7 linked regions of the Kluyveromyces lactis genome follow. The protein of the gene in region 3 purifies or fractionates together with the protein of the main gene of each other region. This does not show direct contact. Links are inferred from orthologs where the notes say so. Each region holds a gene or a part of one and is shown on either strand. Other genes may lie near its edges.

Region 1 (2,031 bases), on a different chromosome or scaffold from region 3:
AGTACACCAGGTGTGGTGTACATCAGGCCTCCTATTGAGAACTATGCGACTTTGGATTTTGGTAAGTTTGAAGAAATATACCAAGTAGGCTACGCGTACGGTCATGACTTTTTACAACATCTGCAAGAGAAAAACGAATTACCGCCAATTGCGGGTACCACAACTTCTGCTTATGCCGACAAAGAAAACATGTTACAAAGACGGAACAGTATATAAAACGAATTAACAGGAAACGCTACCCACATTTGTCGATGGTGGACATGCAGGACATAAAATCAAAGCCATGGCAATTAACGTTATAGTTTCTAAGTAACTGTAAACCGAAAGTTAAAAAAAAATTGAATAAACTAAATATATACTATACAAATGTTAGCGATGGATGTATATTGGGGGCAAAATGAGGATAGCTCACATCGCACTCAATCAATAATGAGGACATGAAGTTATTTCTTCGAATTTCCCTTATTAAATGTTGAAAGAAGAAGAAGGATACTGGACAATCATTCATCTTCTGGTGTTGTTACAAGGGCCACAAGACCACCTCTAACGAAAATCATTTCCGAAAACCTTTCGGTCGTTTTCAAATCTCCTTCTACTAGTTCATAAATGGTTTCCTTTGAATCTGAAAGAACAATATTACAATGTGAGTCGAAAGCCTGAAGAGTACCCACTAATTCACGAGCATCACGTAATTTCACATATACTCGCTCGTCTAAATTCAATTTTAATAGATCCAGAGGCGTATCAGACATCTTTGCGGCGTAAAGTGTGTATGTCTTCTATATTTATGATGCAGTCGTATTCTTACAATAACCAATAATGCAATTGATAGAGGGTACAGCAGTTAGGTTGAATGGTTTCCTTTGTCAGTTTATCAAATGGAGTACCAGGTATAGTAGAGTAGTCGATATACAATCCAAGGCTTAGTTCCATTCACACTCCAGAGCATCCTCCATAACATACTTAATCACCAAATTATTGTTAACGTACTAATTGATAAAAAGTGTTGAAGTTTTGAATTTCGATGTCAATGGAAAGCTCTGAATTATAGAATAATCAGTTAAACCAGGGAAGGTACACGTTTCCAACCATCTTTGAATGATACTGTACCTGTTGAAAGATGGCCAGGATATGCGATGCTAGTTTATCATCTTATTGCACTATGCTTCACTAAGAGAGTCAATAGTCAACCTGATATTCACGTGACTATCACATGACAAAGGCCGGGCAACCTAATGACGGACCCCGAATCAACTCTGTTCGATCAAAAAATTTTTATAACATTTAAGCAGAGGAAAGCTGAATAGGAATTAAAACATGGATGAATCAGCTAGCTGTCGTGATATTGAAGTGTTCTACCTCGATTGAGTAGCTGCAGGACGTGTTTATTATAGCAGGGATATTATATTTTCAAAATGTTCCCAGCAAGAAGGGGATTGCATACTACTTCTAGAGCATGTGCCAGGACGAGATTCACCAAACCTAAACCCAAACCAGCCAAGAGAGAGAACGTTAGACTACCTACCCAGAGGACCCATCACGATAATGATTTAAAGATTACAGCTCCTATTCCACCGGCTGCTGCCAATTTGACATGTCCAGATGATCATCCTTTATGGCAATTTTTCTCCGAGAAGAAGTTTTTAAGAACGCCCGAGGAATTGGATACGCTTTCGAGACCTTGGACCATCCCAGAGTTGAGAAGAAAATCGTTCACTGACCTACATTCTTTGTGGTACACATGTTTGAAAGAACGTAACGTATTAGCACGTGAAAACCATTTGGTGCAGTTCAACTTTGAAGCACAAACCGAAGCATACCAAGATATCTCCGAAAAGATCAGAACGACAATGTGGAGAATAAGACACGTCCTTAGCGAACGAGACTGGGCATTCAAGATAGCGAATGAGAAATTTGCTGTTGAAAAACAAGTATTTATCGAATCATTCGAAAAAGACTTTTTAGAAGCTCCTGCTAACGAAGATGAAGAGATTTTCGAATCATTGCAACGTTTTCAATATGCCATATACG
Region 2 (3,743 bases), on a different chromosome or scaffold from region 3:
TAGTATCATTTGTCGAAATAGGTGCCTGAATGGAGAAGCCACATAGCATGGGGCACGCTTTCACGTATGGAGAATAATTCCCAAGACAGTGATGTTCTTTGGCAACAATTGCCCCTGATGGTCTTTTCAAATCACCGGATGGAATAAGTTGACGGTTGCGTAGTGTAGAGGTTATCACCGTGGATTCTGAGAAGTTGCTTCGAGAGAAGTACAAGTCCCGAATATTCCATTAACCCCGGTTCGAATCCGGGCGCGACCATTCTTTTTGGTTGAATTTCAAACTTTTTTTGTCCGAATGGCGTGCATGTCTAATAAAGTAAAAGGCGTTACTATAAATGATTATGAAAGGGTTGACAGTGCTTTATTAACTATCGTGGCTTTGTTATATCTCTGATATGTAGGTTATATTCCAATACATCCAACTTGTAATAAATGAGAATGTAGGTGTATATTTTAATGGATCCGGAGATAATATTTTCATGGGGTTCTGGTATTTTCTCTCATGAATCTAACTCTCCCTTCCAACCAAGTAATTCCAACTCTTTTAAGATCTTAGGTTCTGATTGGATTTTTGTGACCTGGGTGTTTTCTAACTTGACACCTTCGGTTTGTTTTACTTTGAGTGACTCAATGGCTCTTAATTTCTTCAACAAAGATCTGATTTTCTTTTCTTCTGGTGAAGTTTGACTTGCAGCAGATTGTTGAAGGGGCGGCGTTGGAGTTGATTGTGGTGCTCTAGTTTTAGTGGTTCCAGGTACTACAGTTGCTTTTCTAGCATGTGGGGGTTTGTAGGCTCCAGTGGTTTTCTTGGCGCCTAAATTAGTTGATGACTTGTTTGGGTTCTTCAAGTTGAACTGAGTGACCACTGGATGTATTTCTAGCTGATGCTTTCTAATCTTTGGATCTTGTTTCAATTCCTCGTCCTTCAATTTGTTACCGTTGGTAACATACCCATCCTTGATTATTCTGAAAGGACAATTCGTTCTCCAATCCACTTTCAAAAGCTCTTTGTATTCTTTAACGAACACCAAGGTACCAGAATAATGCCAGATTTTCAATCCATTGTCCACTCTCAATCTTGGAGAAGTGGTTGCTGTTAAGATGAACTCGCCGCCTGGAGACCATTTGCAGACAGAAGTGTTTGTAGCGCTAAATTTACTGATGCATCTAAATTTATCATGTCTATCCAAAATATCCACAGAGCCTTGCAAGTTACCGAAACCACCAACAAGGATGTATTTACCATTTGGCGAAAATTCTAATGTGTTTTTCCTTTGTTCGTTTAAAGAATGGATGGCGTTGCCCTTAAGATCAAAGAATGTGATAGTGGCTGGCATGAATCCGTAAATGACACCAAATTGTCTCGAAGTTGGAGACCAGTTGAAATCATGAATTGGTCCTTCTTTACCAAGGGATACACGGACTGATTCGCCACCCAATGCACCATTGACACCTTGGAATGACAATAAGTACAGGTTATTTTCACCGTAGTAGGACTTATTAGAATGATCGAAATCAGTGGTGGTTAGGCATAATATGGCATTACCTAAATCACTCCATTTTAAATGGCATGAATCTGCTTTGAAAAATTGTTTGGTGACAATTTGTTTGGTAATCTTACCAGTGGTAATGGGCCAAATGGTTAATTGTGCAGGTTTTCCTGACTTTTCCTTTGTGAACGTGCAAATAGTTGGATGTTCAGCCGGAGATATTTGATAGGTGGTGAATGGTTGGTCTGGAGTCAAAGTGGCAAATGGCTTGTCAAACTTGAATGTGTCTTCACCACTTAACTTGATGATGCGAAGTTCCTTACCAAATGACTTGATGGCATAGTCATCCAACTTAGAGAATTGTAAAGTCCAAGAACTTTGGGTCGATGCTTTATAACTGTATTTTGGTTCTGTAGACAATGGTGACTCATTCAAGTTCCAAATCTTACAATTTAGGTGTTCTGTGTCGTCTACTAAAGGTCTTTCCCAAGTAGACAAAAAGTTCCCACTTGGAGAAAATTTTAGGTCATAAACGTTCTTTAACGGTAATTCCACCAATGTGATTTCCCAGGTTTCACCGATTAACAGTACAACTTTACTCTCGTACGATTTAGCCATGAATCTACCGCATGGAGACAAAAGAGATTGAATCACTTTACCTTCAGTACCATCGTTTCCGCTCTTAGATGAGGAAATCTCCTCAAATGATGGGTATCCTTGGAAGACTTCCACGGTGGAGTTAGTCTTAGCAAACAACTGGAACGACATGAGCCAAACCTATGTAACTTATTGAGTCTTTCTCGCCTTGGTTGCTAAAATGCTTAAGATTGATTTAAATAGATCTCTAAACCAAAGAATGAATGAATGATGTGAGAGGCACTTTTTTAATAGTTTTCTCAATCAATTGAAGCTCTCTTAAAAATTAATGGATGGCTTAATGACTTAAGTAATAATTTGCGCCAAATTAGCGAAATAGCAGGCCTTGCACACCTATTTATCTCCAACCAAACGCAAACACTATCGAAACAATTAGATATCGATGATTATATCTTTAGAGTGAAAGAAAGCCTTCAAGTTGAAAAGTTCGAAGAGGAAGAAGCGAAAAAAAAAAATTGATATGACATGTGTATGTCAGGGTAACGAGACTTTTCTCAACATTTGGCATGGGGATAAATATCGTGATGATCAAATCTGCTTAAAGCAAATGTAATAGATCCGAATGGTACATTAGACATTGGGTTAACATAGTTAATATTTGCCTAATATATTGAAAGTTTTGGGTACTGATAGAATAACACCTTACCGTAATAGCTTAAGATTTAATTTGCATGCGTTTAACGATAAAATTTACGAGATTTGTCCATTAGTTTAATTATTATATCGATGAGCACAACAATAAGAAGATTAGGATTTCTGCGGTCTGTGCGGCGGTACAGTGGGACCTCTGGGTGTGCTGATATTGGTAACAATGGAAAGATGAGTACTGAAAATATCCGTCGTGTGAATTTGGGATGTACGATAACATACTTGCAGTCAAATGTCCCACATCTTCTACAAACTTCTTTACATGAACCGAGACTAAGCAAAGACATAGAGTTGAAGATTATGCCTATTACCCATCCGTACTTGCCAAGCTTCTCCGGAATAACGAAGTATTATGCTGTCTGGAATAGCATACGGTTCTTATTGAACACTTTTGCATTCTCAGTTGAAAACAGGGTACGTATTAAAAGCCTTGACGTTGAGAAGCATGAAGTAATTATGAGATGGGAAACCCATCCCTTGGCTGCAGATAATCTAGGGAGTATCAAGAAAGCTGAGTCAGAGACGAAAATTTCAGGGATCTTTATCTTTGGTTTGAATGAGAACTGTGATAAGATTACGAGTCATCTAATAGATGATGTCGAAATAATCGAAAAAGATAAAAAGATAGATTTTAGTTCAAAGGTTCAAAATGGTGCAATCGCCTACTTCAAGACATGGTCAGGACCATGATCTCTATGGTTATCGATTCCACAAGTGCACTCTTGTATATACACGTTGCCTTTTCTTTATTTCCAACTTGAGACATATATATTTACGTGTATGGAAGTATGTTAATTTAGATGGGTTTTTTATTATGATTATATCACTAGGGCAATTAACGAAACCTTACTGGAAGGCAAAGCTAGAAAATAGTGTTGAACCTGGTATGAATATTAGATGTCTACTATTTAAAGTTCGTTGTTTGGACACGAAGTGAATTGAATGGTT
Region 3 (2,062 bases):
TATATAGAGACGAAAAAGGTAAGGTAATAGATGGATACGAAGAAGAATTGAAACTTCGAGAAAAGGCTAATTTGACAGCGAAAGTACGTAAGGAAGAAGAACTTAAAATACGAAATATAGGCGAAGTACAAATATCAAAACTTGATCGCAAAACTGAGAAAAGTGCATTATTATCAACCGAAGATCCATTGAATCAAGGAAACACCCTGCGAGGAACGAATACGTCACTGTTGGGTCGAAGGCTTTACGAGAAAAACTTTCCAGAAAATCGGTTCGGTATCGTTCCCGGTTATAGATGGGATGGAGTTGATAGATCAAATGGGTTTGAAACTAAGTGGTTTGCTAAGAGTCACGATATCGCTGATCAAAAAATAAAGGAACAAACAACAAACCGGGAATTTTGAAAAGTTGAACCTGAAAGTGTCTCTATTCTTATATACTAAGCATTATTTACTGAAGTGATATAATATTTACTGTTAATAGTCCATTCAAACCAACATTCAGGTTTCAGTTTTTTTAGGAGAATTTTTGAAATGACCACCCCTCCCGGAGGCACCACGACCACGATTACTACGGCCACGACGACCGCCACGAGAATGAGAAGATCTCTTTGTATCATCTGAGTCTTTATTCTCCACATTTGCTGTACGTCCATTCTCATCTCTAATTAGGAGATTCTTAAGATTCCTGGATGCCTCTTTATCTAATGGTGGATTTTGTACAGGTTGTGACTGAGGAGGAGCTGCATAAGCAATATGCTCATTATTCGGAATGAAAGGCGGCTGCATCATAAGAGGATGAGGAATACCACCAGGAACCATATGTGGGGGAACAGTGAAATTGTAAGGCAGAGAATTTGCTGGAGGTGGTTGAATTTGCTGTTGAGAACCTGGTTTGATTTGGTTCAAGACGGCATTGAACACGTTGTTAGCAGCCGAAGGATTTAAAGTGTTAACTGCTATTTGCGGAGCGGATCCAGATTCGGTATTTGATTCCGCGTTATCCTTCTTGATATGATTTAACAACTCATGGGCTTGCTTTTTTTTGAGTTCCTCCACTCTCTTCTTTTTTGCGAGGGCGACTTGCTTATCATTAGGAACTGCTTTTGGTTTCTTATCAGCACTCTTCGATGCCTTTGAATGATATACCAATTGTCTATCAGACAAGTTTAATAAGAAGGAAGAGTCCAATCCCAAACCACGTCTGGTCTGCAACCTACCACCAAAGTTGTTTCCTGCAATTATTTCATTGTCAAATAGAACTTGGATTGAGACGTTCTTGCCAATTGAAGTGTAGCCAACGACAGTACCTTTGCTGTGAAGTGGAACCTTGCCTGAATCTTGAATGTACATTACCCTATCACCTAAGTGGAACCTTTGGGAGCGCAATAGAACATATGACGATTCCGCATTTAAGATTGCCTCACGTGGGACCTTAGCTAATTTCTTCTGCTCGCTTGAATCTGGTAAAGAAACGTATTTTATGATTTCAGATTCAACAGCTGCCATCGAAGCCTTGGTTAGCGAATCACTTTCCAAAGACACCACCACGAATGGTTTTCTTGCTTCTGAGAGCCAATCAGCCACTGTTTTCAAAATGGAATCAGCTTCCGCGCTAGATTTGTTAGGGAAGAGATCAGTGATCGATGGAATTGCTTGTTCCTTCGAGTTAGAAAGTTTCGCAAAGAACTCAGGGAATGTAGATCTGAACTGCTCTAACAAACCAAGAGCGACGTCAGAGTATTCCCATTTGTTTGAGCTGCATCTGGCATAACCGAGAACTTTTTGATTTCTTGCTTTGAATTTGATCATCAAACCGACGTTATGGCTTTTCTTTTTAGAATCATTGACCAAATATCTTGAAGTAATTTTTGACAAGAAGAGAGGGTGGACACGAGCTATTTTTGAAAACACTTGTGTTGGGTAGAATCTCAAGGCTTGAGAATCCAATTTCGCTCTAACTTTTCCGATGTTAGGCTCTGCTCTGAGAGAACCCTTTTTGACTGTAAGTTTTAATCTAGTCTCACTATTATAACCATCAACGGTCGCCTCCCCACCATACG
Region 4 (2,134 bases), on a different chromosome or scaffold from region 3:
AATGGTACCAGCTCGTTATGGGCAATGATAACAATTCTGTCTCCGATTTCTTGGTTAGACATCTTTTGGATGTAATCTGTCAATAGTAGAGTAGCTAGGTTCTTCTTCTGATGTTGTGGAGCAATGACGACAGAATGCACTCCAATGACAGGAGAAGAATCGTCTTGTGTGAAACTCATGCTTTCGTTGGTAATAAAAGTTAATTCCTTGGTACCGTTTTTTGGGATGGGGATCTTGGTACCAAAGATATGGCCAATCAACTTTTCTCCCAAAATCTCAGTGCCTTTAACGTCTCTAATGAAAAGACCCGAGCTCAATTCGGGGCACATCTTCAATCTGAATTCGATCTTCTCCTTTCCAGCCCTTTCTTCAGGTGGGAAGCCTTGTGCCTCTAGCTCTACTGATGCTTGGCAATCTTCTATCGTTAATGGTCTAATATAAACATGCAGTGGCAATGACGATGACATAGTGAAAATTCTTTTCTGATTTTATAATACTTAATAATGATTTCCTAATGTTGTTTCTTCAATTCTAGCCACAATAATACAATTATTTGCTCCTTATTCTAGTTTGCTTCTAAAATCAATCGAACCTTATTATCAACAATGGTATTCAACTCCTAGACCAATTGATTTTATCAACTAGTGTTAGACAGATATGATGTCTTTGTGAACTGCTCAATAACGGAAGTGATAGTCTTGTGAGATGTGTGTCTATATGTATTTGTTATCCTTATCCTTATCATCATATGTAAAACCTTAGTATATATGATTGATATTGCAATTGAATTGTTATTTTGATATTGTACAAAGGAGAAACAACAGTTGCGGCAAGAATATAGAAATTACGCACCACTTGGTAGGAATTTGTGAGTGATAACCAAATCTAAAGTTGACAGAACCTGTAAATACCGGACTGGCAAGTTGAATGGTCACCAGAGGCTTAATCTTGGACCAGAACGCCAATCATCACAGCTGGTGAACAGTGTCTCAGGGACACCTGATGTTCGTGTTTAGTGAGATGTCATGTGACCCGTACCGTCCGTTCCTAGCGAAATTGCATGTTGTTTAAGCCTTTGTAGCCAACAGCACCATCAAGTCGATGCCAATAGATACAACATTCTTGGCCTACCTTGTAGCAGCTTTTAAGGCTTTTTATGGGCTCATTTCTTTACTTTATTGCCTTCTTTCGGCCAACTACGCTTACTTTCACCATACAATCACATATTGAGAGAGCTTTGAAAGTTTCAAGAAATAAGTACCTTTGATCAAAGAGATAAAGCTGTGAGCTGACGACAACTACTGTCTATTAGTATCATTAGACTATTAAAACCTCCTGCTCTACTACTGCATCAACACATATTTATAAAACGACGGGATATGAGTAGTGTTTCAGAGATTTTGCCCCTAGAGGTCATTGACAAAACAATAGGACAGGAAGTGACCATTCTACTTAAAGATTACAGAGAATTCTTTGGTACGCTAGTAGGGTTCGATGATTACGTTAATGTTGTCATTGAAAATGCGGTAGAGTATTTGGAAGACCAGGAGATTAAAAGATTCCAGGGAAAGATGTTATTGACTGGTAACAACATTGCTATGTTGATACCTGGTGGAAAACCTGCTTCAAATTAAACAATGGAACTGCATATTGATGTTCAAAACGAAATCTGTAACATGCATGCTGTTTTTTTCTCTCTCAGATGTTTGGTATTGATATATTGACTAACATCCTTTGTAAGTATATATTATATATTTTATATGTAAAATAATTATCATATTGAAGTGCAGCTTATACAAAAAATGAATCAATGCAAACGTACGAGACGTTTGATATACCGTATCCGAAGGTTTGTTGATTTTTGTTGTTCAACTATATCATGCCAAGGGATCGAAAAACCATTCGATCTTAGTGTTTTCAAAAACTCTCATACCCATAGTTTTTGACTCTTTCATTTTGTCCAAGGTAGGATCAGCCCTGGTTATTAGCCAAGGCTTGATAACTTTTGGTTGCAAGACGTATTTGTTGATCAAGATGTATGAGATTACAGCATAAACGGCACCGACGAATAAATCGTATCTGAAATGGTGATCCAAATATTGGGTTGACCACCATTGTAAGCATACGAAAATCG
Region 5 (4,157 bases), about 440 kb from region 3:
GGATTGAAGTGTTCTAGTAGATGGAAATATGATACATTTGTAATAGTAAATAGAAGAATTACTTAGATACTATAAAGCTGACTTTTTTTTGCAATTTTTTTCCTTGAGATTTGATTTCGAATTTGTAGCACACAGTTAACAGTGGCAATCGAGATAGGGGCTGATCAGAGGAGGCGCACGATATCGATCACTTCAGTTCAGTGATTTCACCATCACGAGCAACAAGACCCATGACATTCAAGAACAAGTTCAAATCCTGATAGAACTTGTTTCTTTGATAAGCCAGTTTAGGGTCTTGTTGAGAAGGGGCATTTAGTTCTTCAGCCTTTGAAATGACTTCGAAAATTTCGTCTCTCACTTCATCAATCAATATACGTTGATGGTTCAATTTTCCGCTCAAAGCAAGCGATGCAAGGAACTGCCAGATGTAAGATTGATCATACTGAGTAGAATCCTGTTCATAAACTGAAATGGCGTGTTGCATATATTCAGGTGTTGGGAAAATTGCAGTCAATTTTGTTTCTAAAGAAGTAAATAGCCTATCATAGACTTCACTCCAAGTGGATACTTCCACAGAAGACAACAGTTTGCCCCTGCTAACATCTTGTTTCATCAAAGCAGCACGTGAAATGAGCACGGTAATCAAATTCAAACCGATACGCGATGTGGTGATGAAAGAAACGTTATTATTCTGAATGACATTTATTAGTAGACTCATTACCTCCAAAAACTCTGCTGAACTGGATAAGAACGAAACAATGATCTTCAAAAACACAGATTGGAACAATTCCATCTTCTTCAGTTGATCTTTAGTAGGAAGTGGAGTAGTCTTGTACGATGATATGACAATGACATTCAAATGAGAAAGTTCCTTGAAGAAGCAGTTGAAAAGCTTAATCTTCTCTTCTCTTGACAAGAAATTCATAATACGTGGCATAATCTTGATACCTTTGTCGAAAGATAAGATGGAAATGAAGGGAGAAACGTCAAAACCGTGGTCCTCAACGTGTAGCGCCTCCCATAATTTTGAACTGTCCGGCTGTTGACCGGATCTCAATTGAGCTTCTAGTTCAAGCACTTCTTCGTAAACAGTTTCAATCAATGATAAAATGAACTTACGGCCACCAGAACGGGATAAAACTGTACGATGGTCCACTGAAGAACTCAAAGCATAAGATGATCTTCTTCTTTTGGCATTGATATCCACGCCTTGCAAAGATTCAGACACCTCATCTAGGGCTGAGCTTGATTGAGAAGACAACGCTGGAGAATCCTCTTTGTGAGTTGGGATTTGTAATTGCTTTCTTGGAGCTTTTGAGTTCCTAGTAGCTGAGATTTTACCCAAGACACCCTCTTTGGCATTATCCAACCCACCCTTACTTTTCTGTGGTCTTTCTTTCGCAACGGTAACAGCCTTCTCGACCTGAGATTGCATTCTCTGTAACGCGACGTCAGTTCTCTTGTAACGACCTCCTAATCTGTGACCCGAGTGCTCTAAATATGCTTTAGCAATAGAATCCTTATTAGATTCAGATGGAGTGACACCCCTTTGAATGATTTTATAAACTTGGAAGTAGAAATCCTCATTGTAGGGATCATCAGTGACAATTTGAGATAACTGATACCTGGTGATAAAATCCTTGTCTCTTGGAGTCATTACACCAGAGTGTCTGAGAATTTTGTCAACCTTCGATTGTCTGATTTGAAGACGTCTCAATTCTTCATCAGTCAAAGGATCTTGGGTGCCAAACCTCCTTGGACCACGGCGATACTCTCTAGGTGTATGAGGTGGAGTTGGCACCTGCTCTGATTCTGTTGGCACAGGTGTTGGAGAGTTAGAATGCTCATAATCTTGAGTAGAACGGACAGCTTGGGTTCTAGCAGCAGTGTCAACGGAGTGAGGCTGTTGGAACACTTGTTGCTGTTGGTGTTGTTGTTGGTGCTGCTGATCTTGTTGGTGTTGTTGAGGCAAGTATTGGGGAGGTAACTGCTGTTGGTGGGGCTGCTGGGGCTGAACAGGAGGTTGATTTTGCATTGGTGGCATAGCCATCTGCGGATGTTGCATATGATGTGCAATGTTTCCTTGTGTTTGATTGTACATTATCGGTGGTACTTGTTGGAATTGTTCCTGAGGGTTAACAGGTTGATTAGGAAATCCGGCATTACCGAATTGATTAGGGATAACAGGGGGAATATTTTGCCCAGGGAATTGCTGGTATTGACCTTGAGGGAACCCTTGTGGAATAAAGCCGTAGCCAGGGTTCTGCGGAGGTTGCATACCATAGAATCCAGGTTGAGGCGGCATAGCCATCTGTTGTTGTCTGTCTAAAGATTGAATGGCCAATCCTTCCACATTAGGTGCACCTTGCTGTTGAACCTGTGGTGGGGCTTGGAATTGTGTAGGGGCTTGAGGTTGCACCTGTTGTTGCTGATTACCGGAGCTGTTACCCCATAAAGATTCCATAGGTTGCATGTCCAGCGATTGTTCGAAACCAGGTTTACAGTCTGCTTGTCTGTTCATTTTGGCATTTGCAATAGATGCATAAGAAACAGGAGCTGGTGCTGGTGCCCTACCAGAACCTGAACCAGCGCCAAGCTCCCCTTTACCGTAACCAAAATCAAAATCTGTACCCAGATCCGCTCCAGTACCAAAAGTTTCATCATTGAGCAAATCATCTTCCTCTGGCTCATAATCACCCAAGCCTTGATACGTTTCTTCGAAATCTAAAGAATCCTCCTCGCCTTGCTGTTTCCTCTCACGAGGTTTTCGGCCCGTGGCGTCAAAACCGAAGAATGACATCGTTCAGTGATTCAGGAATATAAGGACTCCTATACTAATTGGGCAAAAATCGATTTCTAGATCAGAATTGTCGACAAATCCTATTATATTCTCTTAAAAACACAAGTAATGTGATTTAAGTCGCTACCTGCCTGCGTTTCGTTCAAGCAATCTTCCAACAAACGGTCTCTGAATATCTCTGATCACTTATTTTTGAGCATAGAAACTACTTTGCTTGTTAAGTGAATTACATTTTTGGGTTGTTGTTTGATGAAAAATTTCACCGTGCAAGATGATATACATATTAAGGATTTCTAGTTCAAAATTTGAAATTCAGGTCATGTGATTTCAAATATTTGACATTTTTCAACATGGTAGTTTAGAAAGTTCCAATACAAACTCGTACGTAGTCTTTCTTTCCTTCATTAGCAGCATATATAAAGTGATTGCGAATAGACAAAGATGACATATACTACTAACATCCTAGGTACAGCTATCTGGAAAATATATCAGCTTAGCAGTTTAGTCTTAAACCTAAGTAATAAAAGATATCTGATCTAATAGCAGTGACCAAGTTCTAATAATTTTAATCTGATTAGCAGTGAAAATACTGATTTGTATGAAGATCTGAATCAAGTATAGTGCTCGAAAAGAATCAACTCAGACTGGTAAAGTGGACTTAACTGCAACTTGGAGAGTACGAAATATCTAAACTATAATCTTGGATTTGATACTAGAAAATGAAACAGAGATTGAGTTCGTTAGATTTGCAACTGATATCCAAAGAGTTGGAGAATCAAATTGTAGGATTTCGCTTAAGAAATATCTATAACATTGCTGACTCAAACAGGCAATTCTTATTAAAGTTTGGAAAACCCGATTCCAAGTTAAACGTTGTCATTGATTGCGGATTGCGAGTTCATACTACTGACTTTACCAGGCCGATTCCCCCGACTCCTTCGTGGTTTGTTTCCAAATTGAGATCGTATTTGAAAGAAAAACGATTGACGGCAGTTAAGCAGATCCCAAATGACAGAATAATTGTGTTTACTTTTGCTGATGGTAAGTACTACCTTGTTTTAGAATTTTTCAGTGCCGGAAATGTGCTTTTATTGGATGCTGACCAAAAAATTCTTTTACTACAGAGAGTTGTCGATGATTATTCGATGAAAGTTGGTGAATTTTATGACATGGCCAACTTTGCAGAAATTAACCAAACTTCAACTACGGTTCCTGATCCTAAGGAATATTTCGAAAATGAAATAGCAGATTGGTTGAAAGAAGCCGACGTTAAAGCCAAAAGCACAATTGTGCCCGGAGAGGCTAAAAAAGGTAAACTCAAGGGAAAAGCATCTGTTCCGTCTATTCAAAAACTTTT
Region 6 (2,275 bases), on a different chromosome or scaffold from region 3:
CCTCTTCTCAAAACACTTCAAAGTAACGAGCATCCACCTTATACTTAAGAGTGAATATTCTTTGAAGCGCTTCAAGGGCTTAGTATGAAGTTGAGAACAGGAAATGAATTGCCATATTTGATCTTTTTGTAACCAGGTTCATATGAACAGAGACTTTGTGTTCTGAGGAAGATTCGAACCGAAGTCGCAACGTGGCCTTTTTACCAGCTACGGCACAACACCCGACTCAAACCAATTACGAATTCATTCAGTAGTAGACCCTGTCACGTGTGTGTCAGGTGTCATTTCCGTAGTTCAGAGTATCATCCACGAGGCCAAGGACGAGAATATAATTAAACTTATGTAAATTATCAACTCCCTATAACTCATCATCTGTGAGCATCAATTCATCGTCAGCTAATGGCGTGAATTGAGGACCTACTTCAACAACGGCAGGTCTCACAAACCCGCCGTAATTCTTTTTTACTGGTCCGAAATACTTCGTTCCTTGGAATGTACCATTGTTCTTACCGTCAGGTTCGTCAAATTCAATTCCACACCATACATCTGTATTACTGATCTCTTGAACTTTTCCCACGTATCGTAACCATCCTCTTCTTTCGGGGACCTTGGTGGAATCGGTCGTTGTTTCCTCGTTGGACAGTACTCTGCATCTTTCTCCAACGTGTTTTTGTAATAGTTCTGCCTTATCGATATTCAGTTGTAGTTGTTCTTCCATCTTAGAGCGGTATTCAGGATTAAATTTCCCTAACTTGTTATCTTTTTTCCATTGTAATACAGAATCCCTTCTGTTCTCATAATCGTCCATGGTGTATCGGAACGAAACGTCATCGCTATTAGCATGTAGCAAATCATTTTTCAATTGGCTTGCTAAACTGTTTTCGTTGGTGTCTATCACTTTTATGGACTGGATTTTCTCTACTTTCTGGTCTTTGAGATCTTTCAAATACTTGCTGTTCTGTGCATTGCCATTTATCACCAATTTCATGTCTTGAACATCAACACCGGTCAATTCGTTCAATCTTTGGCCCAGATGGTCCCATGATGTACCAGGTTTCACAAAGATCTGAGTGTTAACCAAATCGGATATAATTTCCACGTCAGATGACATTATCGGTGCTGATATATCCTCTGTTTTATTTTGTCTTCGATGCTGTAAGTTCAATGTTTGTCGTTTTGTCCAGGCATGTTTGAACATCGAATTTTTCAATGTTCCGTAAACTTAAATGAAAAGTTAATTTGAAACCAGTAACACACTTTGACAATAACCCATTGAGCAAACAGCGCTACCCCACCCAACCAACTACTAATAATGAGCGAAGCAGTATGTTAACTACTATAATTAGGACGGCTTTCTAAAACTTCTTCAACTTTCTCAAAACAATGATCCATTCTACATTTTAAGTTCAAATTTACTAACAGTTAGAGAGTTTATACATTCCCCTTCTCTGCAGAGGCAATCACAACAACCGAGACAAGAGCAGAAGAAGAAGTTCGAAGGCCCAAAGCGTGAGTCTATCATAAATCTTGCACAATATAAGGACACAGAAGTACGTGTCAAGTTCATAGGGGGAAGACTGGTCACTGGAATCCTAAAGGGTTATGACGAGCTAATGAACTTGGTTCTTGACGAAACCGTCGAATATGCAAGAGACCCAGAAGATGAAACCATCATCCACAAGGACCAAGCCAAAAAAATTGGTTTGGTCGTCATAAGAGGAACAGCTCTACTTTCGCTATGTTCCCTCGAAGGTGCTGAGATCATCAATACCTAGTTAAGACCCAAAAAAAAAAAATTTCAAGCAACAGTGTACCATATATGTTCATTAATAGTGCTATATAACGTTCAGTGCTATATCAAACTCACACTATGAGCCCATATCCACATTTCTACCTGTATCTAATGAAATAAGTATCTCCAACGGAGATACTTTCCTAACCGGCTACATCTCACTTATCAAGACCTAATCTGCACAAATGTGCGTTCACGTGACTTATTGAATCTTTTTTCTAACATCAGCAAAGCTTTTTGGTTAAATTTCGACCAAAAAACCGTATCTCATCGCATCGACTGATTAGAGAGATATCTTGAATTCTTTAAACCGACTGCGTCCAGGTGTTCATTTATATATATGTGAGTATATATCTCTTGTGAGAGTTGTTCTTTTAACGTTTCAAATTCTCTTTTCGCTTGTTGCTGCAAATCTGTTTGAATAATATTTTCTGTAGTATTCTTACTCTTTACTGAAGACCAATCAATTAGCGCATCAAAGCG
Region 7 (2,208 bases), on a different chromosome or scaffold from region 3:
AAACACCCTTGTCACATATGTGGCAAGTGAGTCGATCGCTAAGAATTAATGATACGCCGGACGAATCATTAATATCACAACTGGGGAGGTTGGAAATCAGTAATTATAACAAATTTCAAAAGACATACGATCAAGAATTAACGACGCTCGCTGGCAAATGAGTTGATCCGTTAGTTAAGAATTAATTTTGACCGTTATAATGGTTCTATTTTATGTCAAATGGGGATTATTGTCCCATTAATTTTTTTTTTTTTTTTTTTGGAATGCCATGCCGCGCTATCTATGCATTTTACTTATTATGAATAGTACAGTACCGAACCATATATAAGTGAATATATATATCTCTATGTGATATATAATTGAGTATCAAAAGATAAATACCCTTCAAAACCACACGATCTCCAGTTTGTGTAATGATTTAGTTTAGTTTAGTTTAGTTTCGAATTGTATGTTTTACGATTTTTTTTTGCTTGTCTTTTAAACTAATTATAATCTTATACTTAATACAAATCACCTTTATTGAAATCGGTAGTTAAACCAAGCTGCGCTAGTCTCTTACCCTTAGCAGTGTTCTCCTTGTATTTCACCTCGTCCATTTTCTCCTTATAGCTTTCAGCTTCCTCAAATGGAACACGTTCCATCGATTCCAATGGTGCATCCTCCTTATCGATGTCTACTTCGCCCAACATAACAACGTTTTCACCTCTTATCATGAAAACTCCTCTGTCACATTCACCATATTTATTCTCACCCTCGATATATATTCTTTCCACCGTATGCTGTAGTATTAAGTTGGCATATTGATCAAACGTCCTTAGTACACCGAAGAACATACGGCCATCGCGCAATAGTACGAATATCTTGCGGTCTACTGAGCCAACAATGGCAGCTGTAGTTGTGAAATTGTATTGGTCCAAATATAAATCTGCTTCACCTTCTGATAGCTTGGACTTAGGACGATTTTCTTCCACATCGGAAGCCACTGGTTCAGTAACTCCTACTGAACTTGCTCTGTCGCTATTCGGAGACGAAGAGGACATTTGTAATTTGAGACTCTGATTCTTTCAATGAGCAAGTGAAAAAAAAAAAAAAGATTATAATGAATTGTAAAATTCAACACTGATTGTGATAGTTCTGGGTATCACTTGAAGGATAAATAGGCCGTTAAAGCGTCCAACGATTCATCTTTTTGGCAGTTCATTGCAATTCCATTTGATGTTGAGCTAGCTGAAACGAATTGAAGAAAAAAAATGTATGGTAACGTTGAGGCAGGGTAACTATAGGATGACTACCTTTGCTACAGGACCGCATAGTCATTGCACAGACAAGGCACAAATGGTTAGCTTGATGATTCTGTTTCCAAGTAGGTGAAAGGTGCTGCCAATCCGGATACTAAGTAGGGACGTCATGACTCCGTATCATAGTATTGATTGCTGGATTTTCCGGGATTTTGTTTCCCTGCCATGCGTATTTGAGGGATAATAGTATGATTTCCAAAATGTACATATTTCAAAGATGTCTTAATTTAGTATTGCGTATATAAAGGCAGCAACAATTACTGGGGTGACCTGACTTAATTAGACTGAAGTATTTAACTGAGTAAAAGTTCGAATTTTTTATAGAGGGGGACATTGACAATCAGTATCTTCAATTCATCATGTCTATGTTTAAAACCATCCAATTTCAACCTCGCGTAGTGACATTATTCACACACAAATTAGAATCATCTCATGCTCAAAATCTTCTAACGGCATTAAAATCGAACCACAAGAACAAAATCAACATTGAAATATGCCAGAAATTCCCTACTAGAGATCAATTGGAATATTTGGCAAAAATTGATAAGCCCGACTTAATGGAACAGATTCCTAAGACGGAATCTCTTTTGAAAAAAGCTGCTGAGGATCCACTATTTGGGTCACCATTGCAGAAATGTGTCGAGAATGGGTCTTGGAATAAACAGACGAGCTTATGGGTTGACTGGGAAAAAGCTGTATTAGGCACGACGGTTCAATCGTTGAAAGAGAAATGGTTACCAAAAAACTGATATGGGAGTATAATAATGATGATTAATAACAGTAATTAGGGTTTTAAAATATGTATGTAAAAGACACTTCACAAATTCATTCTGCTTATGACGTATTGTTGGGCAAGAATACCGAAAGTTAGATCAAGACCTTCGGATATCCATGGTTTCACCCAATCACT

What was found.
Region 1: the proteins of XRN1 (region 3) and LSM3 purify together in Saccharomyces cerevisiae (affinity purification with mass spectrometry; 6 studies listed by BioGRID, with this or other methods). This does not show direct contact. The link is inferred for Kluyveromyces lactis from reciprocal best matches to the Saccharomyces cerevisiae genes XRN1 and LSM3.
Region 2: the proteins of XRN1 (region 3) and KLLA0_A02761g purify together in Saccharomyces cerevisiae (affinity purification with mass spectrometry; 5 studies listed by BioGRID, with this or other methods). This does not show direct contact. The link is inferred for Kluyveromyces lactis from reciprocal best matches to the Saccharomyces cerevisiae genes XRN1 and YGR054W.
Region 4: the proteins of XRN1 (region 3) and LSM5 purify together in Saccharomyces cerevisiae (affinity purification with mass spectrometry; 5 studies listed by BioGRID). This does not show direct contact. The link is inferred for Kluyveromyces lactis from reciprocal best matches to the Saccharomyces cerevisiae genes XRN1 and LSM5.
Region 5: the proteins of XRN1 (region 3) and PAT1 purify together in Saccharomyces cerevisiae (affinity purification with mass spectrometry; 8 studies listed by BioGRID, with this or other methods). This does not show direct contact. The link is inferred for Kluyveromyces lactis from reciprocal best matches to the Saccharomyces cerevisiae genes XRN1 and PAT1.
Region 6: the proteins of XRN1 (region 3) and LSM7 purify together in Saccharomyces cerevisiae (affinity purification with mass spectrometry; 4 studies listed by BioGRID). This does not show direct contact. The link is inferred for Kluyveromyces lactis from reciprocal best matches to the Saccharomyces cerevisiae genes XRN1 and LSM7.
Region 7: the proteins of XRN1 (region 3) and LSM1 purify together in Saccharomyces cerevisiae (affinity purification with mass spectrometry; 6 studies listed by BioGRID, with this or other methods). This does not show direct contact. The link is inferred for Kluyveromyces lactis from reciprocal best matches to the Saccharomyces cerevisiae genes XRN1 and LSM1.

Annotation. Positions count from the first base shown.
Region 1 is NC_006038.1:468,650-470,680, reverse strand, and holds LSM3 (U4/U6-U5 snRNP complex subunit LSM3), read right to left. Parts: upstream 753-2,031; coding exon 501-752; downstream 1-500. Other genes in the region: NTE1 (lysophospholipase), read left to right, coding at 1-216; MRPL4 (mitochondrial 54S ribosomal protein uL29m), read left to right, coding at 1,416-2,031. UniProt on the Saccharomyces cerevisiae protein: Component of LSm protein complexes, which are involved in RNA processing and may function in a chaperone-like manner. Component of the cytoplasmic LSM1-LSM7 complex which is involved in mRNA degradation by activating the decapping step.
Region 2 is NC_006037.1:246,386-250,128, reverse strand, and holds KLLA0_A02761g (translation initiation factor 2A), read right to left. Parts: upstream 2,259-3,743; coding exon 501-2,258; downstream 1-500. Other genes in the region: MCO32 (Mco32p), read left to right, coding at 2,874-3,485. UniProt on the Saccharomyces cerevisiae protein: Functions in the early steps of protein synthesis of a small number of specific mRNAs. Acts by directing the binding of methionyl-tRNAi to 40S ribosomal subunits.
Region 3 is NC_006042.1:2,094,035-2,096,096, reverse strand, and holds the end of XRN1 (chromatin-binding exonuclease XRN1), read right to left. Parts: coding exon 501-2,062; downstream 1-500. Other genes in the region: BUD13 (Bud13p), read left to right, coding at 1-404. UniProt on the Saccharomyces cerevisiae protein: Multifunctional protein that exhibits several independent functions at different levels of the cellular processes. 5'-3' exonuclease component of the nonsense-mediated mRNA decay (NMD) which is a highly conserved mRNA degradation pathway, an RNA surveillance system whose role is to identify and rid cells of mRNA with premature termination codons and thus prevents accumulation of potentially harmful truncated proteins.
Region 4 is NC_006041.1:902,701-904,834, reverse strand, and holds LSM5 (RNA-binding protein LSM5), read left to right. Parts: upstream 1-1,379; coding exon 1,380-1,634; downstream 1,635-2,134. Other genes in the region: PAA1 (polyamine acetyltransferase), read right to left, coding at 1-467; IPT1 (inositolphosphotransferase), read right to left, coding at 1,878-2,134. UniProt on the Saccharomyces cerevisiae protein: Component of LSm protein complexes, which are involved in RNA processing and may function in a chaperone-like manner. Component of the cytoplasmic LSM1-LSM7 complex which is involved in mRNA degradation by activating the decapping step.
Region 5 is NC_006042.1:2,529,591-2,533,747, reverse strand, and holds PAT1 (deadenylation-dependent mRNA-decapping factor PAT1), read right to left. Parts: upstream 2,801-4,157; coding exon 188-2,800; downstream 1-187. Other genes in the region: RQC2 (Rqc2p), read left to right, coding at 3,520-4,157. UniProt on the Saccharomyces cerevisiae protein: Activator of decapping that functions as a general and active mechanism of translational repression and required for P-body formation. First decay factor recruited to mRNA, at a time when the mRNA is still associated with translation factors.
Region 6 is NC_006041.1:2,036,969-2,039,243, forward strand, and holds LSM7 (Sm-like protein LSM7), read left to right. Parts: upstream 1-1,312; coding exon 1,313-1,324; intron 1,325-1,454; coding exon 1,455-1,775; downstream 1,776-2,275. Other genes in the region: ALF1 (Alf1p), read right to left, coding at 359-1,111. UniProt on the Saccharomyces cerevisiae protein: Component of LSm protein complexes, which are involved in RNA processing and may function in a chaperone-like manner. Component of the cytoplasmic LSM1-LSM7 complex which is involved in mRNA degradation by activating the decapping step.
Region 7 is NC_006041.1:1,348,189-1,350,396, reverse strand, and holds LSM1 (Lsm1p), read right to left. Parts: upstream 1,041-2,208; coding exon 501-1,040; downstream 1-500. Other genes in the region: KLLA0_E15181g (uncharacterized protein), read left to right, coding at 1-161; FMP46 (putative redox protein), read left to right, coding at 1,658-2,047; DUF5427 domain-containing protein MTC1, read right to left, coding at 2,116-2,208. UniProt on the Saccharomyces cerevisiae protein: Component of the cytoplasmic LSM1-LSM7 complex which is involved in mRNA degradation by activating the decapping step.